Arabidopsis thaliana: one gene and its partners. The protein of the gene in region 1 interacts with the protein of each later gene in a pairwise test. Each region holds a gene or a part of one and is shown in the gene's direction. Other genes may lie near its edges.

What was found.
Region 2: the proteins of AT5G45780 (region 1) and AT2G45910 interact in a protein complementation assay, tested with the Arabidopsis thaliana proteins (one large-scale study listed by BioGRID).
Region 3: the proteins of AT5G45780 (region 1) and AT1G64870 interact in a protein complementation assay, tested with the Arabidopsis thaliana proteins (one large-scale study listed by BioGRID).

The regions. Positions count from the first base shown.
Region 1 is NC_003076.8:18,565,115-18,572,304, reverse strand, and holds AT5G45780 (Leucine-rich repeat protein kinase family protein), read left to right. Parts: upstream 1-2,398; 5' UTR 2,399-2,679; coding exon 2,680-2,797; exon of another isoform or gene 2,798-2,874; coding exon 2,875-3,007; intron 3,008-3,092; coding exon 3,093-3,164; intron 3,165-3,246; coding exon 3,247-3,390; intron 3,391-3,464; coding exon 3,465-3,536; intron 3,537-3,635; coding exon 3,636-3,695; intron 3,696-3,773; coding exon 3,774-3,847; intron 3,848-3,928; coding exon 3,929-4,075; intron 4,076-4,165; coding exon 4,166-4,504; intron 4,505-4,585; coding exon 4,586-4,977; intron 4,978-5,065; coding exon 5,066-5,359; 3' UTR 5,360-5,507; downstream 5,508-7,190. Other genes in the region: AT5G45775 (Ribosomal L5P family protein), read left to right, coding at 5,809-5,811, 5,901-6,008, 6,104-6,146, 6,234-6,429, 6,826-7,024.
Region 2 is NC_003071.7:18,891,394-18,899,808, forward strand, and holds AT2G45910 (U-box domain-containing protein kinase family protein), read left to right. Parts: upstream 1-2,636; 5' UTR 2,637-2,694; exon of another isoform or gene 2,695-2,967; intron 2,968-3,086; 5' UTR 3,087-3,126; coding exon 3,127-3,391; intron 3,392-3,483; coding exon 3,484-3,605; intron 3,606-3,734; coding exon 3,735-3,856; intron 3,857-3,993; coding exon 3,994-4,098; intron 4,099-4,277; coding exon 4,278-4,575; intron 4,576-4,669; coding exon 4,670-4,804; intron 4,805-5,011; coding exon 5,012-5,536; intron 5,537-5,719; coding exon 5,720-6,466; intron 6,467-6,633; coding exon 6,634-6,819; 3' UTR 6,820-7,135; downstream 7,136-8,415. Other genes in the region: AT2G45920 (U-box domain-containing protein), read left to right, coding at 7,970-8,191, 8,270-8,391. UniProt on the Arabidopsis thaliana protein: Functions as an E3 ubiquitin ligase.
Region 3 is NC_003070.9:24,100,948-24,105,804, forward strand, and holds AT1G64870 (uncharacterized protein), read left to right. Parts: upstream 1-1,969; coding exon 1,970-2,884; downstream 2,885-4,857. Other genes in the region: AT1G64880 (Ribosomal protein S5 family protein), read left to right, coding at 4,766-4,857.

The DNA.
Region 1 (7,190 bases):
GAACGACAAACGAGTTTAGAGAGGGTTCGGTTTTTAAGGCTGGTCGAACCAAACGGTTTTTACCTGAACCGAACCGAAATTTATCAAACCGAATTTGAATGGTATTTTGTTGACGTGGCATCAAATCATACATTATTATCGGGCGGCGAAGCTTAGGACTCTTGTTTAGGTATTTGCGTTAACTGATCAAATGATTCAAATTACATCTGCAAAACATTATTTATAGGTGTAGAAAACACTAGTTTAATCACTTCAATAATAATAATTCACTAGGAGAAAAAAGAAATTGCTTCTCTAATAATAAAATTGTTCAAATTATAATAATTTTAGTTTAATCTCCAAATCATTTACGTAACAACATGAGAGAGAGAGAGAGGAAGAGAGAAGAGAAGTGGGTACCGAGATAGATTCAAACACTTGATCTCAAGTTTCTGTGGTAACTCAACGATTTGGACGAGATGTGATCTAATGGTTAATTTAATTGCTCGAGTTATTATTCAATACACTTAACTATTAAATTAGTCAAAACATCTATAATTCCCTAAAGCGAAATCAAAAATATAAAACTTAACAAACAAGTTTAAAAGAAAAAAATTGTAATTTACTGTATAAAAAAATGTTTTATTTGATATTTAGAAAAAATAAATAATACAATATTTATTTTATTATTTAATTTTCATAAATGATTGAAAGATGCTAACACTATAAATTTAAAAATATCTTTTATTTTAATTACAAAACTAATATTTGTAAGTTTTGTTCAAATTATTTCATGCACCTACGAAAAATGGTGGATCCACGTGACTTTACAAAATAATATATGGTTCAAAATCTTTAAATATATGAAAAAACAATCACATTAGCAAAACATTAACTTAAAAATGATAAAAATACTATATGACAATATGACATGGACGAATTGTGTGCATACACAACCTAACCAATATTCAGAAAATAATTCTATATTTTTAATGATGTCGTAAGCAGTGGCTTTGGTGAATTATGCCATAGACCGTCTTTGCCACTTTGATACCATTTCGAATTTAGTTTGGATCATCTTATCGTTCACATTTTTGCTTTATGATATATTTGCGCTTTTATTACTATTTCATAGTATAATTTTACCCACATTCTAAATGATATGTATGAGAGATTTTACAATGATTTGAGATCAGTAGCAGAAATGCAAACATACTAACATAGGTAATATAAAAAACTCAAGAAAGCATTAGATCCAAGATCAATTATATCCAAACTCAAAACTAAAAAGACCAAGCTGTTTAAGACCAATACATAAGTAATTTAAACAAGAATTTGTAAAATTTACTCTACTGAATTACAAGGTAAATTATTTTAGTTAGTTTGTAATTCTACCGTTTGAAGAGGATAGTTGTTACGCACTTGCAAAAAAGGATACCTTTTACACACTTGCCAAAAACGTTGTGTATTGGGATACCGAAAATTATGGTATCTCAAAACACGTTGACCCCGTTACGATTAAGGCGGTTGGTGACCCTAATGAACTTTTTCTCGGTACCTTCAGTTACTTTGATTCTACCTATATCGACTCTACCTCAGTCATTTCAGGTAAAAAAATTTAATATTATATTTCTAGAAAAATGTTCTTTAATATTATACTTATAGAATCTTACGTGAGATGACTTTGGTGTGGATATTGTAGATGAAAAGCAAGCAAGTGACGTTATTATCAAATCAAAGATCATTTCTTGGGCGAAGGATAGTCCTGAAGTTGCAAATGAACTATTAATTGCAGGATATAAAGGGTATCGGTATGTACAAGACCTACTAAAAACTCAAGGACATAATGTTTTTTTGGGATAGATCTCTGAAAATTCGTCGCGGAATTATTTCATGTTAAAATGGTATGAGAATGGAAGCGATTAGCAGAGGAATGAGGACCATTAACACATGAAGGAATTATATGTCCTAATTGCAACGAAAAAGTGTAAAATGAGGCTAAACAAGATTTATGGAGAAAGGGTAAAATGACTAAATCAGCCGTGCATGAGCACATAAGCATTATATTGCATGTTTTAAGAGTCTTGAAGCTTGAAGACTTTGCTATTACTCGAAATGTTATCAAAAATTAATTAAAACTTGATAATTATTTTAGTCGCAAGATAATTATTTTTTGTTATTGTTACAAAAATCATCACCATTCAAATATTGTGTCACACCATTTATTCCATACTAACCCAACTTATTACTAACCCAATATCGTTCATACGAGCATTAGTCTTGAGCATTATTGACTTTTTCAATGGTGAAATAAAGATAAATCAAGCCGTTGATCGGAATACCATATCAGATTCAAGAGTGTGCTGTTGTACCATTGTTCTCGTAGAACCGATTACAGAGGATCTAATCTCACTAACACTGTCAAAAGTCAGATATAAAAACAAAAAAAAGTCTTACAGAACAGAAGACAAGGAAACAATCGTTTGACAACTTCGAGGATTTTCCCGCTTCCATTTGCTATAATCGTCAATTTCTTTATTTGTCTTCTTCTTCTTCTTCTTCATCTCGATTCAATTTAATGCCAAAAAAAACTTATCTTTTTAATGTATTTATAATGTTTCAAATGGTCTGCCCTAGAAGAAAGGGCATACAAATGATAACTAACATTGAAGTCTAGAGAATTCTTATACTTTTTCTACGATGGAGATTTCTTTGATGAAGTTTCTGTTTTTAGGAATCTGGGTTTATTATTACTCTGTTCTTGACTCTGTTTCTGCCATGGATAGTCTTTTATCTCCCAAGGGTGTTAACTATGAAGGTGAAAAAAGTATCAAAGATCTTTCTTTTATTGTGTAAAAAGGTTTTGACTTAATCCATATTTTTGGGTTATTGTAGTGGCTGCGTTAATGTCAGTGAAGAACAAGATGAAAGATGAGAAAGAGGTTTTGTCTGGTTGGGATATTAACTCTGTTGATCCTTGTACTTGGAACATGGTTGGTTGTTCTTCTGAAGGTTTTGTGGTTTCTCTGTGAGTATCTTTTGCACACCACTTGTTCGACTAAATGTCTCTGAGAAACGTTTCTTTGCTGAGTTTATTGAAATCTTTAATGCAGAGAGATGGCTAGTAAAGGATTATCAGGGATACTATCTACTAGTATTGGGGAATTAACTCATCTTCATACTTTGTGAGTTAAATGAATTTGTGGTTAATCTTGGAATTCAAGTATGTGTTGTTGTAACTAATGGGGTTACTTGTTATTATTGTAGGTTACTTCAGAATAATCAGTTAACTGGTCCGATTCCTTCTGAGTTAGGCCAACTCTCTGAGCTTGAAACGCTTGATTTATCGGGGAATCGGTTTAGTGGTGAAATCCCAGCTTCTTTAGGGTTCTTAACTCACTTAAACTACTTGTGAGTTTGATGCAAAGATTCTTGATTTACTTAATGTTGCAATTGTTATTTTCTTACAAGGTTAAGTCTTGTAGGCGGCTTAGCAGGAATCTTTTATCTGGGCAAGTCCCTCACCTCGTCGCTGGCCTCTCAGGTCTTTCTTTCTTGTATGTCTTACTCTACCTAACATTACAGCTCCAGGAAATTTCTATTTCGTATAATGTTTCTTAGACTAATGTTTTTTTATTTATGAAAAACTTGAATAGGGATCTATCTTTCAACAATCTAAGCGGACCAACTCCGAATATATCAGCAAAAGATTACAGGTAAGATATGCGAAAAATGCATGATTATTAGCCGTTGCAACTTATGTGAAAGCTTCTTGATAAACTTTTCTGTTTTAGGATTGTAGGAAATGCATTTCTTTGTGGTCCAGCTTCCCAAGAGCTTTGCTCAGATGCTACACCTGTGAGAAATGGTATGTTGCTTCGAAAATTCTTTGCAAAACTTTATTTAAAACATGGTTTCGTTTATTTAACTAGCTGCAATCGATCTGCAGCGACGGGTTTGTCTGAAAAGGACAATAGCAAACATCACAGCTTAGTGCTCTCTTTTGCATTTGGCATTGTTGTTGCCTTTATCATCTCCCTAATGTTTCTCTTCTTCTGGGTGCTTTGGCATCGATCACGTCTCTCAAGATCACACGGTACATATCTAATAGTCTCTCTCTGTCTGTCATATACAATATATGTCAAGACTTTGCTAAAATCTGCATTACTTTTTATGGATTTCTTAGTGCAGCAAGACTACGAATTTGAAATCGGCCATCTGAAAAGGTTCAGTTTTCGCGAAATACAAACCGCAACAAGCAATTTTAGTCCAAAGAACATTTTGGGACAAGGAGGGTTTGGGATGGTTTATAAAGGGTATCTCCCAAATGGAACTGTGGTGGCAGTTAAAAGATTGAAAGATCCGATTTATACAGGAGAAGTTCAGTTTCAAACCGAAGTAGAGATGATTGGCTTAGCTGTTCACCGTAACCTTTTACGCCTCTTTGGATTCTGTATGACCCCGGAAGAGAGAATGCTTGTGTATCCGTACATGCCAAATGGAAGCGTAGCTGATCGTCTGAGAGGTTTTCAATTAACACATTTCTTGTTTTGTTATTCTTTCGATATATAACGCGAAAAGTTCCTTATAAGATTACATGTTTCAGACAATTATGGAGAAAAGCCGTCTCTAGATTGGAATCGGAGGATAAGCATTGCACTCGGCGCAGCTCGAGGACTTGTTTACTTGCACGAGCAATGCAATCCAAAGATTATTCACAGAGACGTCAAAGCTGCAAATATTCTACTTGATGAGAGCTTTGAAGCAATAGTTGGCGATTTTGGTCTAGCAAAGCTTTTAGACCAGAGAGATTCACATGTCACTACCGCAGTCCGAGGAACCATTGGACACATCGCTCCCGAGTACCTTTCCACTGGACAGTCCTCAGAGAAAACCGATGTTTTCGGATTCGGAGTACTAATCCTTGAACTCATAACAGGTCATAAGATGATTGATCAAGGCAATGGTCAAGTTCGAAAAGGAATGATATTGAGCTGGGTAAGTAAAAAAATTCTATGAGTCATTTACTCAACTTAGACTGAACCCATAAGGACAAAACTTAAATCTAAACCATTGGTTTTTGTAGGTAAGGACATTGAAAGCAGAGAAGAGATTTGCAGAGATGGTGGACAGAGATTTGAAGGGAGAGTTTGATGATTTGGTGTTGGAGGAAGTAGTGGAATTGGCTTTGCTTTGTACACAGCCACATCCGAATCTAAGACCGAGGATGTCTCAAGTGTTGAAGGTACTAGAAGGTTTAGTGGAACAGTGTGAAGGAGGGTATGAAGCTAGAGCTCCAAGTGTCTCTAGGAACTACAGTAATGGTCATGAAGAGCAGTCCTTTATTATTGAAGCCATTGAGCTCTCTGGACCACGATGATAGACTTCATAGTGTCTTAACTAGTCTTCTTGATTTTGTTGTCATTGTCATGGCATTAACTGTAAAAATTTGTTTTCTCAATAACTCTTATTTATTCTGTTCTTCCAAAAATAAATGAAGATTTGCGTTTCCACAGTCTCATAAAAAATTATCTATCGTTAATTTTAAAACTCATACATAATAAAGTGATTCGGCGAATGAAAGACTATTTGCCTTATGTAACTAAGAAGGCCAAATATATGCTTAAGATTATGCTTTTCTTATGGGCTTTATAATATTGGCCCATTAAACCATTTTAATAAATCAAAGGGGTAATTTCGTCATTGCGTTAATTCAAGAAACCCTAAGTACCGACCCATATAAGTTCTCTCACTTTGCACTCGACGCAGTTTTGGGCTTTGCAAACTCTACACTGCTTCGTCTCTTAGCTCGACATTGATCTCCTTAAAATGGTATTTGTTTCGTTCGTCTCTGTAGATCGATTCAATGAAAATGTGTTTAGTTCAATGGGTTTATTTTTCGGCTTTGTTTTGTTTCTCAGGCGTCGGAGAAGAAGCTCTCGAACCCCATGAGGGACATTAAGGTTCAGAAACTTGTTCTCAACATTTCCGTTGGTGAGAGTGGTGATCGTCTCACTCGTGCCTCCAAGGTTCGATTTTGTTTGTAAAAATCTGACCTTTACGATTATCCATCATTGATTTAGTGATTTAGATTTGAATTATTGTTTTTGGTTATTTCGTATAGGTGTTGGAGCAGCTCAGTGGACAAACCCCTGTCTTCTCTAAGGGTATGTGAATTTGAAATCTTTCAGGGATTTAAGTTTGATTTTGTGTTGATCTTGATTCTGATGTATGTTGTGGTTTTTGTTATACAGCGAGGTACACTGTGAGGTCTTTTGGTATCAGGCGTAATGAGAAGATTGCGTGTTATGTGACTGTGAGAGGTGAGAAGGCAATGCAGCTTCTTGAGAGTGGTTTGAAAGTTAAGGAGTATGAGCTTCTTAGGAGGAACTTCAGTGACACTGGTTGCTTTGGATTTGGTATCCAAGAGCACATTGATCTTGGAATCAAGTAAGTTTTCTGTTTCTTTTGCGATGAAAGTTTCCTTGAATTAGTTACATTAATGGCTTTGTATAATGGTTTTGGTACTTGGATTCTTCATGTATCTGTATATGTTTAAAAGAATTTCAGTTGCATCTAAATGTCAAGTCTCTAAATTAGGGGTTTTGTGAGGTTTAGTCAGAATGCAGACTACTTTGGTTTTCGCTGAGTGTTATAGTTTTTGTGGAATTTTAAGTATGGATTGGATTAAAAATGAGCCCTTTACTAGTTTTTGGTTGAATGCTAGATTTGGGTCTAGTAAAAGATGAATGCTTTACTGTTTTTCAAGGGTGTTAGATTCGAAACTGATTAACTGGTTTATTTGAAATGTTTACTGTTCTCATGTGTTTTATTTTGTGTATATAGGTACGATCCTTCCACTGGTATCTACGGAATGGACTTTTACGTTGTCCTTGAACGCCCAGGATATCGTGTGGCTCGCCGCCGTAGATGCAAGACTCGTGTTGGTATTCAACACAGAGTAACCAAGGATGATGCAATGAAATGGTTCCAGGTCAAGTATGAAGGAGTTATCCTCAACAAGTCTCAGAACATCACTGGTTAAAAAGTGTTTTGATCTTTAAAGATTTTTGTTGATTCTAGCTTATTTTAAGTTGTTATCTTTGGATGTTAAAGAATTTCTTGTTGTAGTAAATCTTTTGACATCAGTTTGGTAGAATCTAAATCTTCCAAGAACCTTGGAGATATGTTTCTTATTTTATTCAATGTCA
Region 2 (8,415 bases), on another chromosome or scaffold:
GCATGCACCAATTTAGTAGTCATGATGTCCATTTATGATTGTATCTAGTCCAATAAACTGAAAAGATACTAACATTATAACAAAAATAAATAAATGAAAAGATACATCACTTTAGAATGTTAATTTATTACTATATCATTTTATTCCTAATTAACTGTACTTCTATTTCTAATTAAGATTAGTATTCAAAAATTCGGCTTAAAGAGATTAAGATACCTTTAAGTAGCTGTATAGACAGACAACCCCTAATTAGAAAGCAGCTACTCTTTTTTTTTTTTATATAGTAGTACCAAGATAAACGACAAAAGCAATTAACAAATGTTCGCAATGTCGACCTCATCAAAAACAAAATTAAGAAACCGACAACGTTTCTTGTATTTTTACTCAGCATATAACAACAAGAGAAACGACGACATAGTGGAGAATACGAAGCATATAGTTTCTTAGGATTCTTCTATCACAGGTCACTGCCTTTTTTGTCTACGTATCTTGTCCTAATTTGCATGTGAAGATTTGATGGGCTTTTTGTGCATCGCTTTCAGCATTCGGAACCCGATCATATTCGTTTTATCCGACTCCGACCCGAGGGTTATATGCAAGCAATTAATATTTCGTTGTTCTTGTTCGTTCCTGAGGACCATCGCCGAATTCTAAGACTTGTGATTACTTAAACTGGAATTTAAAAGATTAGAAAGCTAACAAAAGTATATGGTAACGTCATGTGTAATTAAATGCATGATTAGTTTTTGACTTTTAAATATCATATAGTTTTTGTTTTTGTATGTTATACAGAATTCTTTCATTATGTTCTACCTAACAGAAAAGAGATATAAATTTAGTGTAATCTTATAAAATAAGCATGGCTGCGGTTGCCATATTACAACTCTGTCTAATCACCACAATCATTTTAGTTAAGGGTTTTGGTAACATATAATTATCATGGAAATTAAAGACGGTGATAGCGTAAACTAATTAAGAAAATCACATCACATACTTGATACTCCTAAAAGAAAACATTAAAGTAGAAAGAAAGAAACTAAAAGCCAAAAATGCGTGTGTAATCGTATGAGTGATATTTGGTGTACTACAAAGCCTGCAATTTGAAAATGTTGACACGTACGTCCTTAAAACATTTGAGACTATTGGATTCAGACTTTTGAAAAGCAAAACTTTGGATTCGGAAACCAGGCAGGCTTATATGGATACCATTAAGGCCCGTGAATCATATATTGCCCATTTAAGGAGGTATTTATTTTTGATATATTTTATTTTTAATTTATTATAAGTTCATCATTATCCCGGTTATCGTGAAGACTAGTCATATCCAATTAACGTTATTGCTCTAACGGAAACGTGCACAAACAAATTCAAATTGCAGTTTACGGTGAAGCTTTTGACGAATGAATAAAGAGATGCTACATCCCCAAATCGTATATCCTAAGTTGAAATATTCCATGATAATTAAACTCAGTTATATATATAACTTGGTTAGTTAACAAACTGGTGTGGATGTGCTTAGCCTGTCTTCATATCCTGAGACAACTTTTTCTTTATTTTTAAAACCTGTCAATTACAAAATTAACGTAATATTCAATAACAAATAAAATTCTATTTCGACCCCGGAAACATATATATATATATATATATATAATTCAAATGAAAATGACAAGGGAATAAGCATTTCGGAGAATATGCCTATTAATTTACATTATATAACATAGTACAACCACACACGCCACATTAACAATTCAACTAGCTAGTTTTTAATTTATCAGAAAATGAACTTGAAAATATGTTATAATCTACACTAAATGTTAATAGAAGACTTTTTCTCATCTATTTTCAGGAAAAAAAAAATAACAAATTTCTTGAACCAACTAACAAAATTAGCAAATTAACGTACAATGATCCATTTTTTAACAATCATTAGAGTGATATAGTAGTAATCCGATACCAGATCCTCAAAATATATGGAGACATAGTCATTCAACTGCTGGTTTTTGCATAATCCATGTGTATTAGCCTAATACTATTAGGTTTGATGCATCCAGTCTTTCTAAAACACGTCATTATAACTCACGCGTTTAGTTTGATAGACATATAATGATGCACTTAATACTTTCATATTCGTTGTCATCTATGTGTAGCAGCATAGTGCACTTGTTCGTCTCAGACTTTATAGAATTTTAGATTCGTGAGTAGAAAATGGCTTTTCGCTTAACTTTTCATAAATCTTATGTCACACTTAATTAAAAATTGACTAGCACCTTAAAATTAACATATATGTGTAACATGAAGAATATTGATATCTTGCATGATACTAACTCTTTTGGGGTCTTCTGAAAAATAGATTGCATGCATATCTGATCAAATGCAAATAGATTATGTTATAAAAAAAAGTCATTTATTCTACTGATTGGAATGGAAATAAGTTTTCACCGGCGGGAACAAAAAAGGTGAACACGTCGGCAGAAATAGAGAATTAAGAAAGACTGCGAGTTGGTGTACCAAATCTCATCCGTGCTTCTCATAATCAGGTACACGTGTCATTAATCGGTTAAGGTGGACCACCCCATAGATAAGTACTACTGTGTGTGTGTCCACAGCAGATAAATAAACCTCTTCTTTCATGTTCTCGACCACGTCAGATTTTTTAGCAGCAAAGCACACAAATCCCCAAGAAGCTTCGTTTTGGTATGTTAAAGTAAAATCGAATAAATTTTGCACACAAATCTCAATTTTAATTGTCTTTCCCTCTTCTCGTGAAATTTTCCGACAAAATATCAGTTTCTTCTTGCCGTGAGTTTTGGTTGGTCTGACCAAGAGTCCTTTTATTTGGTCAATACGTTTCGAAATTTGATAATCAAACTCTTTCTTCCTCTTCTTCTTCTTCCTTATCCGTAGACTCTAGGGTTTCAATACGATTCGAGTGTGTCTGTTTGCTCTCTAGTCAAAAATTTCACTCTGGTTAGAAACTTTCCCTTTTGGATTGTGAAACTGCTATTTTAAATCACTGCTTATTGATTCGTGTTCCGGAGTGATCTTGGTGAATATTCTTAATTTGTTTCGTTGTTTTGTGGTTTTAGATATCAAACGATCTGGTTTGTCGGATTTGATATTGGAGCAATGGCTTTGGTGAGTCCAATTCCAGCAATGGGTGAAAGAGCTGGATCCATGAGATTTCACGGAATTGGTAGCCCAGGATCAAGGTCTAGTAGGAGCGGGATTATGGACGAACCTGTCTCGCGGCTGATTGACGAGAAGATCTTCGTTGCAGTGGATAAACACGTGGCCAAGAGCAAATCTACACTCATTTGGGCTTTGCAAAACACTGGAGGCAAGAAGATTTGCCTTATTCATGTTCATCAGCCCTCCCAAATGATCCCACTTAGTATGTTCCCTTACACCTTGTCTCTGTGCTTTTTTTCCACTTAGTCTTGTTTGTGGTCACTGATCTTGTTTTTTCACATTGATTCATCCTAGTGGGCGCCAAATTTCCAGTTGGTGCTGTGAAGGAGGAAGAAGTCAGGGTTTTCAGGGAAAAGGAAAGGGAGAAAGTACATATGATCCTAGACGACTACCTTCGTATATGCCAGCAGAGAGGGGTATGCCTCCATCTATTTTCCTTTTCTTTAGTGTTGATGTTATGCCCTTAATAGGGAACTTGTTTTACTTCATTGGCTAGCACTACGATTATAGTGTCCTTATGATAGATAGTGTATTTATGATTGTAGGTCAGGGCAGAAAAGATGTTTATTGAAATGGAATCCATCGAGAATGGAATTGTGCAGCTCATCTCGGAGCTGGGAATCAGGAAACTTGTCATGGGAGCAGCAGCAGATAGACACTATTCAAGGTATGCTTATGGCGAGTCACTAAGCATTTTTTGGGATCTCTACTTATTCATACTGAATCAACTCCTGTAGATCTGTGTGCTTCTTACTCTTCAATATCCTTATGTTTTGCTTCCTCTATCAATACTTTGGCTTTCAGGAGAATGACGGATCTGAAGTCCAGGAAAGCCATCTTCGTACGCCGAGAAGCACCTACTCTTTGTCAAATATGGTTTACTTGCAAAGGATACTTGATACATACAAGGTTTGGCCAATTCTTCTTCTCATCACAACCGAATCCTTGGATTTCAAAATGACTTGTACGAATCAGCCATGCATAATTATTACTCTAGTAGTCTTTAAGCTTCCCGAGATCTGCATTGGCATTGAAAATGACGCATCTGTGGCTGCTTATTAGTAATAAATATTGTACTATCATTGCAGGGAAGCTACTATGGACGACACTGAATCAGAATATGCATCTCCGCGTCCTTCCATAAGTGCAAGTGATCTACTTCAAACTTTCTCTACACCGGAGTCTGAACATCAGCATATATCTCGAGTACAGAGCACCGATTCAGTTCAACAATTAGTAAGCAATGGAAGCTCAACTGAACAAAGCGGGAGGGTGTCGGATGGGTCTTTAAATACTGATGAGGAGGAGAGAGAATCTGATGGCAGTGAAGTAACGGGAAGTGCAACAGTTATGAGTTCTGGCCATTCATCTCCCTCCAGTTTTCCGGTATGCCATGTTGTTCCTAATGGAAAAGCAATGCATTTTGATTTTCATATAACATTGTATCTCAGCTGTCCAGGAAATTTGTCCATCATTGCAGGATGGGGTGGATGATTCTTTTAACGTTAAAATCCGAAAAGCCACGTCAGAGGCTCACAGTTCAAAACAAGAAGCTTTTGCAGAGACTCTTAGGCGTCAGAAAGCCGAAAAAAACGCACTTGATGCAATCAGAAGGGTGAGTTTCCTTACAAAAATAATTTAGTTGGCACTGTTAAAACTTTTTTGGAAATGATTGCTAGATGTTCTAGCTGGAGATATATACTATACTGGAACCGCTAGTGTATCACTTGGAGAGATCCCTAGGCTTAATAGTGGTGCTTCTAGTTACACCAATAACAGCTAAAATATTATAGTATACTGATATTATAGGTAATTATTATAGGCTAAACAATCAGAAAGTGCCTATTCTGAGGAATTGAAGCGAAGGAAAGATACGGAGATAGCAGTAGCGAAAGAGAAAGAGAGATTTATAACAATAAAAAACGAGCAAGAGGTGATCATGGAAGAACTTCAAAGTGCAATGGCTCAGAAAGCGATGCTTGAGAGCCAGATAGCAAAATCTGATGGTACAATGGAAAAGCTAAACCAGAAGCTTGATATAGCTGTGAAGTTGTTGCAAAAGTTGAGGGATGAACGAGAGGAGTTGCAGACAGAACGTGACAGAGCACTCAGAGAAGCTGAGGAGTTAAGGAGTCACGCAGAAACCTCAACCCTACAGTTGCCTCAGTACTTCACGGATTTCTCATTCTCCGAGATTGAGGAAGCAACTAATCACTTTGATTCGACCCTGAAGATTGGGGAAGGTGGATATGGAAGCATCTACGTTGGTTTACTGCGTCATACTCAGGTGGCTATAAAAATGTTGAATCCTAACAGTTCGCAAGGCCCTGTAGAATATCAACAGGAGGTATTTTCTTGACATATTATTAGTGAAATTTCTTGTTTAGTTTCATCATCATTGTTTACTGGTTTATTGTGCACAAACTGCTGCCTCTACGAAAAAGGGGACTTTGAAACACAGTTCTACTGTAGTTTTGATTTTATAGTGTTCGCTGTGGAGGAGCTTTGACTTATTCTTGCGGCATTGCAGGTTGATGTCCTAAGTAAAATGAGGCATCCAAATATCATTACGCTAATTGGAGCATGTCCAGAGGGGTGGAGTCTTGTCTATGAGTATCTTCCGGGTGGAAGCCTTGAAGACAGGCTTACTTGCAAAGACAACTCTCCACCCTTGTCGTGGCAAAATCGTGTGCGCATTGCCACTGAGATATGTGCAGCACTTGTCTTTCTTCATTCTAATAAAGCTCATAGCTTAGTACATGGTGATTTGAAGCCGGCAAATATCCTACTCGATTCCAATCTCGTTAGCAAGTTAAGTGACTTTGGGACCTGCTCACTACTTCATCCTAACGGAAGCAAAAGTGTGAGAACTGACGTTACAGGCACAGTTGCCTATTTGGATCCAGAAGCTTCCAGTAGTGGAGAGCTAACTCCTAAGTCAGATGTTTACTCGTTTGGGATTATCTTATTGCGCTTGTTGACCGGGAGACCTGCCTTACGGATATCAAATGAAGTGAAATATGCCCTCGATAATGGAACATTGAACGACCTCTTGGACCCTTTAGCAGGGGACTGGCCCTTTGTTCAGGCTGAGCAGCTTGCTCGCTTAGCATTGAGATGCTGCGAGACTGTCAGCGAGAATCGTCCAGATCTTGGAACTGAAGTGTGGAGGGTACTTGAACCTATGAGGGCTTCTAGTGGAGGATCTTCATCTTTCCATCTTGGCCGTAACGAGCACCGGATAGCCCCTCCATACTTCATTTGCCCCATTTTCCAGGTAACTAATCTGTATATTTGAGTATGGATTTCCAGTATTATTATCAATCTGAGAAGACTTCGATCACAAAGTCATTAAAATTTGCTTATCTGAGGTCTCAAACCGTTATGTTGCAGTCTAATGGTACTCAACCCGTTCTTCCTCTGCTTTGTTTTCAAATATTTCAGGAAGTCATGCAGGATCCACACGTGGCTGCAGACGGTTTCACATACGAAGCAGAGGCTATAAGAGCGTGGCTGGACAGTGAGCATGATACTTCACCAATGACCAATGTCAAGCTTTCTCACACCAGCCTAATAGCTAACCATGCTCTTCGTTCTGCGATTCAAGAGTGGCTTCAACATCATTTGTGAAAATAAAATCCTTCAAACCCTCAATCCCTGTTCTCTTATGAAAAAACGTTTTTGCCTTTTCTGCGGGAGGCAACAGAGTAAGTGAGTAAGATTAGTGTTTTCAGTCTTCCTTATACATATACATACGATCTAATCATGGATAGCAGCATATTTGTTTACTTTTTCAAGCATAGTGTAAGTCCTCCATATCAGTCATATATGAAAAGAAGAAGCTGGTGAGATTTGTATGTGGATATGTATATATATATATATATATATATATATATATATATGTTCTGTATGAAAAAAAAAGTTATATGCTTATTCGGTTTGTGTGAGAAGAACTGCCACTATTTTGTTCTTCCATTATGTTCGGCTCTCTTAAGAACAAAGATTAGCCTCTAATTATTGGACATGATCTCACTGATGATGCCTTTGCTTAGCTAAAATTAGGATGAGTCTTACATTTTTAGTCAAGACTATCGTGTAAGACTTGTTTTCCACCTGGAAGAAGTTACCTTGGATTGCCTATAGTGATTTTTAATGAACTCTTAAAATTCTTGTGATTAATCTTACTTAATTAGCAGTGGGGTCAGGTCGTTTTGGCGGCTAGTGGCATAACTGTATAAAAATTCAGGATTGCACTGAGGTAAGCCAACCTAACGCAGCCTTTAAAGACACCAACCTGGAAAATGCTGAGAGTATTCTTCAGGATTTTCTCAAAAGTCTTGTGAAATTCGTGTATTTGTGTCAATATGTCGACATTTCTCTTCATACACAGATACTGTCGCTTTTGATTCCTGGTTTGGCTTGTTGAAAGTCAAAAAGCCTTCATTATTTTAATACATGATTCAGCTTCTGCGTTAAGGCTAGGTTTCGTCATTGGTACCGTGGTTGACTTCGTGTGCATGTTATAACATAAGAAAATGTTCTTGCTTGTTGATTGCTCCCTCTGTTAGATAAGTCATCTCTTTTCTCGTATTGCAAATTTTAAGTTTGTTCTTGTTTATTCTCTTGAGTGAATTAGAGGTATGTTTTGAGTGTTCTCATATGGAGTGTGTTGGAGATAGGAGCTTCGATCCAAGCAAAGGGGAAAAGTGTTGGCTTCATGAGGCTTCGATGCAGCCTTAAACGCTAAAATCCAGGCCAAGCAAGATGGAGATAGAGAGAGATGATGGGCAAATCAGGTTCGCAGCAGCTGCTGATGGATGAGAAGATATATGTTGCAGTGGGGAGTGACTTGGGGAACAAGTCCACTCTTGTTTGGGCGATACAGAACACTGGAGGCAAGGAGTTCTGTATCGTCCACGTTCACCAGCCACTCTACAGAAAAGAAAAGGAAAAGACACAAAAGATCCTGGACAAATACCTACAAAAATGCAGGCAAATGCAGGTATGTTTTTGTTACTTCTATTGCGAATAAGTGATTTGATGATACAAGAGATAAAGAGAGCCGATTGTGATATTCTAGGTCTGTGCTGAGATGATACACATTAAAATGGAGTCGGTAGAGAAAGGGATCATCCAATTGATCTCAGAGCGCAATGTCAAGAAGCTCGTCATGGGAGCTGCGTCAGACACACGCTATTCAATGTACAAAGCACACCGGCATAACTA
Region 3 (4,857 bases), on another chromosome or scaffold:
CAACTTATCCGGTGTTTTGTTTTCTTTCTGCGAAAGCGATAATACTCCGCATTAGAGACTATTCAATTTCTAACTTTTCACAAATCTTGAATGTTCAGTTTTAAAGTTTTATCCGAGTCGAGTCTCCTAGGTACCGTACCATAATTTGTTTTGTTTTCGACGTGATAGAGGGTCTTTTCTTTGGCACCACTCCTCAGTGATAGCATCGATTCTTTACAAAGAATATGACTTTGACGAGAAATTTGTCCTCTTTCCGCCTTTTCCTTTCCTTTATAAGGGTAACGGTCCTAACCATTATCAAATTTCTACATATGTATTTCTCGTCAAAGTAATCTTTGTAAAGATCACAATATCACCTTAGGTGATTTTTCTAGTTAACAATATAGTTATAAAAATAGAGATAATATAGCACTCCGGTTTCAGGAATACAGTGGTGCATGCAAAGAGATTTAAAAGAATTGATTTTTGGTTACCTATATCATCAAAATACACTTATCTTTTTGGTCAAAATACACTTATCTTTTTGGTCAAAATACACTCTAGTACCACAAGGTAATTAGTTTCACACTAAAAAAAGAAGGGTTTAAGAAATCCGAGGCGGATCCTACATTATTCGCCCTCCAAGGCATACCTACTCTTCGATAGTTGGAGACTGCCGCTTAGGCAAAGTTGAAAAGCTAGATAAGATTCAACTTTAAAATAATTGATAAGTAAAAAGAACACATCAAATTACTTTATTTTGAGAAAAAATGTTGTCTAATTAATGTGTTTTTAAAATTTATATCTAATATGGTCAAATAAATTAATACATATCTCTTATGTATTTATAATTGGACTATCATTGGAATTGAATTTCTTTCAATAATTGAAGACTTTAATTATTTGTAAATTTAACCAATAATTGTATAGATCTTAATCAATTTACGAGTTACCTAATTTTAATTCTTTGAAATTTAACAACTTTGACTAATCATATATCTAAACAATCATATGATGTCATATATGTTTTTTCAAACTTTGTATTCCAAATCTCTTTGCATTTTTTTGTTACTTTAAAATAGTCTTTTTAGTAAAAAATAGATGTTTGACTAATAAAATTGAAATGGCTGGTATATTTAAGAAACAAATCAAAGATTGTTTAGTACTAAATTTTTATCCAAATTTGGTAATAAGATATTTCAAAATCACCCAAAAATGTATCTATTCTTTTTGAAATTTCCATTATCAATTAAAAAAAAGTAAAAGATAAATTAACACATTAAATATTATATAATTAGGTAGATAAAAAGAAAAGGCTTGGGATTGTAAAAAAAAAAAAAAACCATAAACAGTTATTTTAAAGTATATCATAAATACAATTTCGAATATGTCCAAATGTAAATACACTGCATACAATGAATATAATATATGCTGGCAACAAGTTCTGTGTCCCATTATATAGTTAGACCCATATACTAAAAATGATTTTGATAAATTTGTAAAATTCACTTAACATATACATATACTTTTATAATATGAATTGCAAGAAAACATATTAACCTATAAGCTAATTTTTTTTAGTTTATTTTTCTTTCTGTTTTATGTATTAGGTAGAATTCAAATGTCAATAGTCAAGGAAATTTGCTAGTGGGGTGAAATTTACATATAATAGGTACAAGTCAAATTATGTATAACAAAATAAATTTTTAAATGTCAATAGCTTGGAAATATTTTTTAACCGCTACTTAAAAACTTTCATAAAACCTATAAGTTATAGTAGAACTTCCAGATAGAGTGACACGAATTTAGCTTAGCTAATCAAATCCTCACATTCCTTATCTTAAATAACCTTCGAAAAAAGTGTGATCCACATGTCTGTATAAAACGAACCGATTAGATTGTGACAACAATACATTCCAACAATTTATCCATCACTTTTCCATCCTCCAAAATTTTTGCAGTAAAATCTCTTTTCACTTTCAAATCAATTATGTCACATCCCACCGTAGAACAACTACATGCTTTCCATGCACAAGAAAGAGAGATATTCTCTAAACTAGTTCAAAAACTCCGAAGACCACCAGCTGAGTCACTTCTTGTCATGGCCACATGGCTTTGGTTTGAAGACTTTGGCTTCGGAAACATTTTCTCCATCATCACGGTTTTTAGCGATCTACTCATTGTAGATCTCGCTAACGAGGCTGTCTTGTGCTTTCGGTGCCTTGAATCTGACCAGCCCCCAAATGATGTCAGTCAGATCCCTCTCACCGAGAGATTCATGAAAAATGACATATCCCTTCAAATAATCCACAATCATCGATACACTGCCATTACGGGAATAAAGAACTTTTTAACCACTATTTGTTCTAGAATATTCTCTGATATCCTTCAACGAGTTCTTCCATCTTCATCATCCTCATTCATCACCAATCTCCGCCACCCTCTCATCATTCCCGGTTTCCCTCATCCAACTTTTGGGAGCATCAACGTATTGCCTAATATCGTTGCTAGGGATAATCTTCCAAACGCAAATTCATTTCTTTTTCCTCATGGTCTTTGGGGCTGGAACGCTAACCATGTCGCGACTGATAAAGAACGGACGGTATTTCTAACGTTTTCTCGTGGTTTTCCCGTGTCACATGCTGAGGTGATTCATCTCTTCACCGAGATATATGGAGAAGATTGTGTCGAAAGCGTTTACATGCCAGAGGACGGTGGAAATTCCTCCAATGACAACACAAATTGCAATGGTCATCAGCAACAACCACTATTCGCGAAGATGGTCTTGGACTCGGTTGTTACCGTAGATCGTATACTCAGCGGCCAGGAAAAACAAAAGTATAAGATCAATGGAAAGCATATTTGGGCTCGTAAGTTCAAGAATAATAAAGACGGTCTTATCTAATTAAATAAAGTCATAAGGATTTTTAGTTTCTAGTTTTTCAATTTGCTGGTGTCAAATCCCTTATCTTATATTGTAGTCTAATAATTAGAAACCATATGTAACGTTTCGACGATGGTATCTTCACTTAATTTGACGGGAATGTGTTTCACTTAAGTTTGAGGTTTGAGGTGACTTTAGATATCCAATATATTTCACATTTCTTTTAAGCAAGAGTGGTACTCAATATTTTTATGCACTACCATATCTCTAATGTTTTCTCAACATAAAATATAATTCACACGTTTAAAATAAATAGCTTTTGATCAACCAAGCTTCTAACGATACTACGCTGATTTGGGGGAAATCACCATCATCGTCACCGTCACTGTCACCGTCGGTTCCTCCTTTGAATGAATTTTAGTAGGATCCCTTTGATGTCATTGACAACCGCCATCATCATCGTCTCTATTACCACCGTTGATGCTGCCACGAGCACCACTGACGTTAAAACCACCAGGACTACCACCACAACAACCACTATCACCACTAACAAAGAGACCAAGTTTTTTCATAAACTACCTTCCATGTTTAATTACTATAGTTTGAATATAGAGTGCTAGTTTCTTAATTTATTAATAAAAAAATGGTAGTCTTGCACAAATTTTTCTTCTTTATAAAGAAAGATATCACAAAATTTTATCAATTAAATTTATTGAATAAAACAAAAGATTTTCTCTCTTCTATTGTTTACCTTTCTTTTTAGTAAGTAATTAAGTCTAAATGTGCAAGAAATCCACAGATAATAAATTCAAAGAGATAAACTTTGATGTTGTTAGAAATGGAGGATAATCATACAATAGACGGATCGGTTTCTCGAGTAATTGTTTTTTTATTAAACGGATTATACCAAATTTAGACCGATTTTCACCAATAATCAAATCAAACAGAACCGAACCAAATTACCTTCATTAATTGGAAAAAAATCGAATTTAGCCAAAAATAACCAAGTTAACCGGATTTTTTTAAAATGAATACAGAGATTATCGACAGTGGAAAAAGGAAAAGAACTCGAAAAGAAGACCATAAACGCAGAACCATAAGCATACACAGACGAATGTTAAGCGATTAGTTTTAACACATTTCATAGGTCTTTTAAATGTATATTATCGAGTCTTTGATATCGAGAACATATAGTTTTCGATATCTTTTAGTGTTTTTGGATTTGTGGACCTGCTGGGGTTAAAAGAGGTGTGTTGGAAGAGAAATGAAGCCAAATGAGTCAAGTGAAGTAATTGGAGATGCAGAGCAGTGCAAAAGCGTCATCACTAATTAGTTTGGCCGCCTCTGATAGAAGACTTCCTACCGATAGATCTTTCTCAACTTTGTACACAAGATAGAGTAGGATATAATCTCTTTATTGATCAAAGTATGATAACAAAGTATAACAATCAAGGCACATCAAATCAATTTATAAACCCTAGTCACGTTTCAAGAATCCAAATAGGAAATACACAATAAATATTGTCTTGTAGAGATTGCAAATAGTTGTTAAGACGAAGAACAAACTATTTTTATTTATTACGTGGGTCATATTCAAAATTGAATAAATGTAAATTTACTGTAAATGATGCACTTTTGGATAAATCCTGACAAAAACTAGATTTATATCGTTCATAAACCTTTCACATATCAGCCATTGCAACCATATGAAGTTTTGAAAATAAGCTTGTAGGTGATTTTTGGGAGGATTTACTCACATGACTAAATTGGGCCCATGAGTGAAAGTGAAGCCCATTTGTAAAATAAATGTCACACTACACACAAAAACCCTAAAAATCATTTCAGTCTTCTCAAGGTTTTTGAAATTTCTATCTTCCATTTCCATCTGATGAATCTCTGACGATGTCTTTGAGAACTCGAGCATCGTCATGGCCTCGTCTTCTACTTCGCCGGAACCCTAGATCTTCATTTTCTCGTCAGATATCTACTCTCGA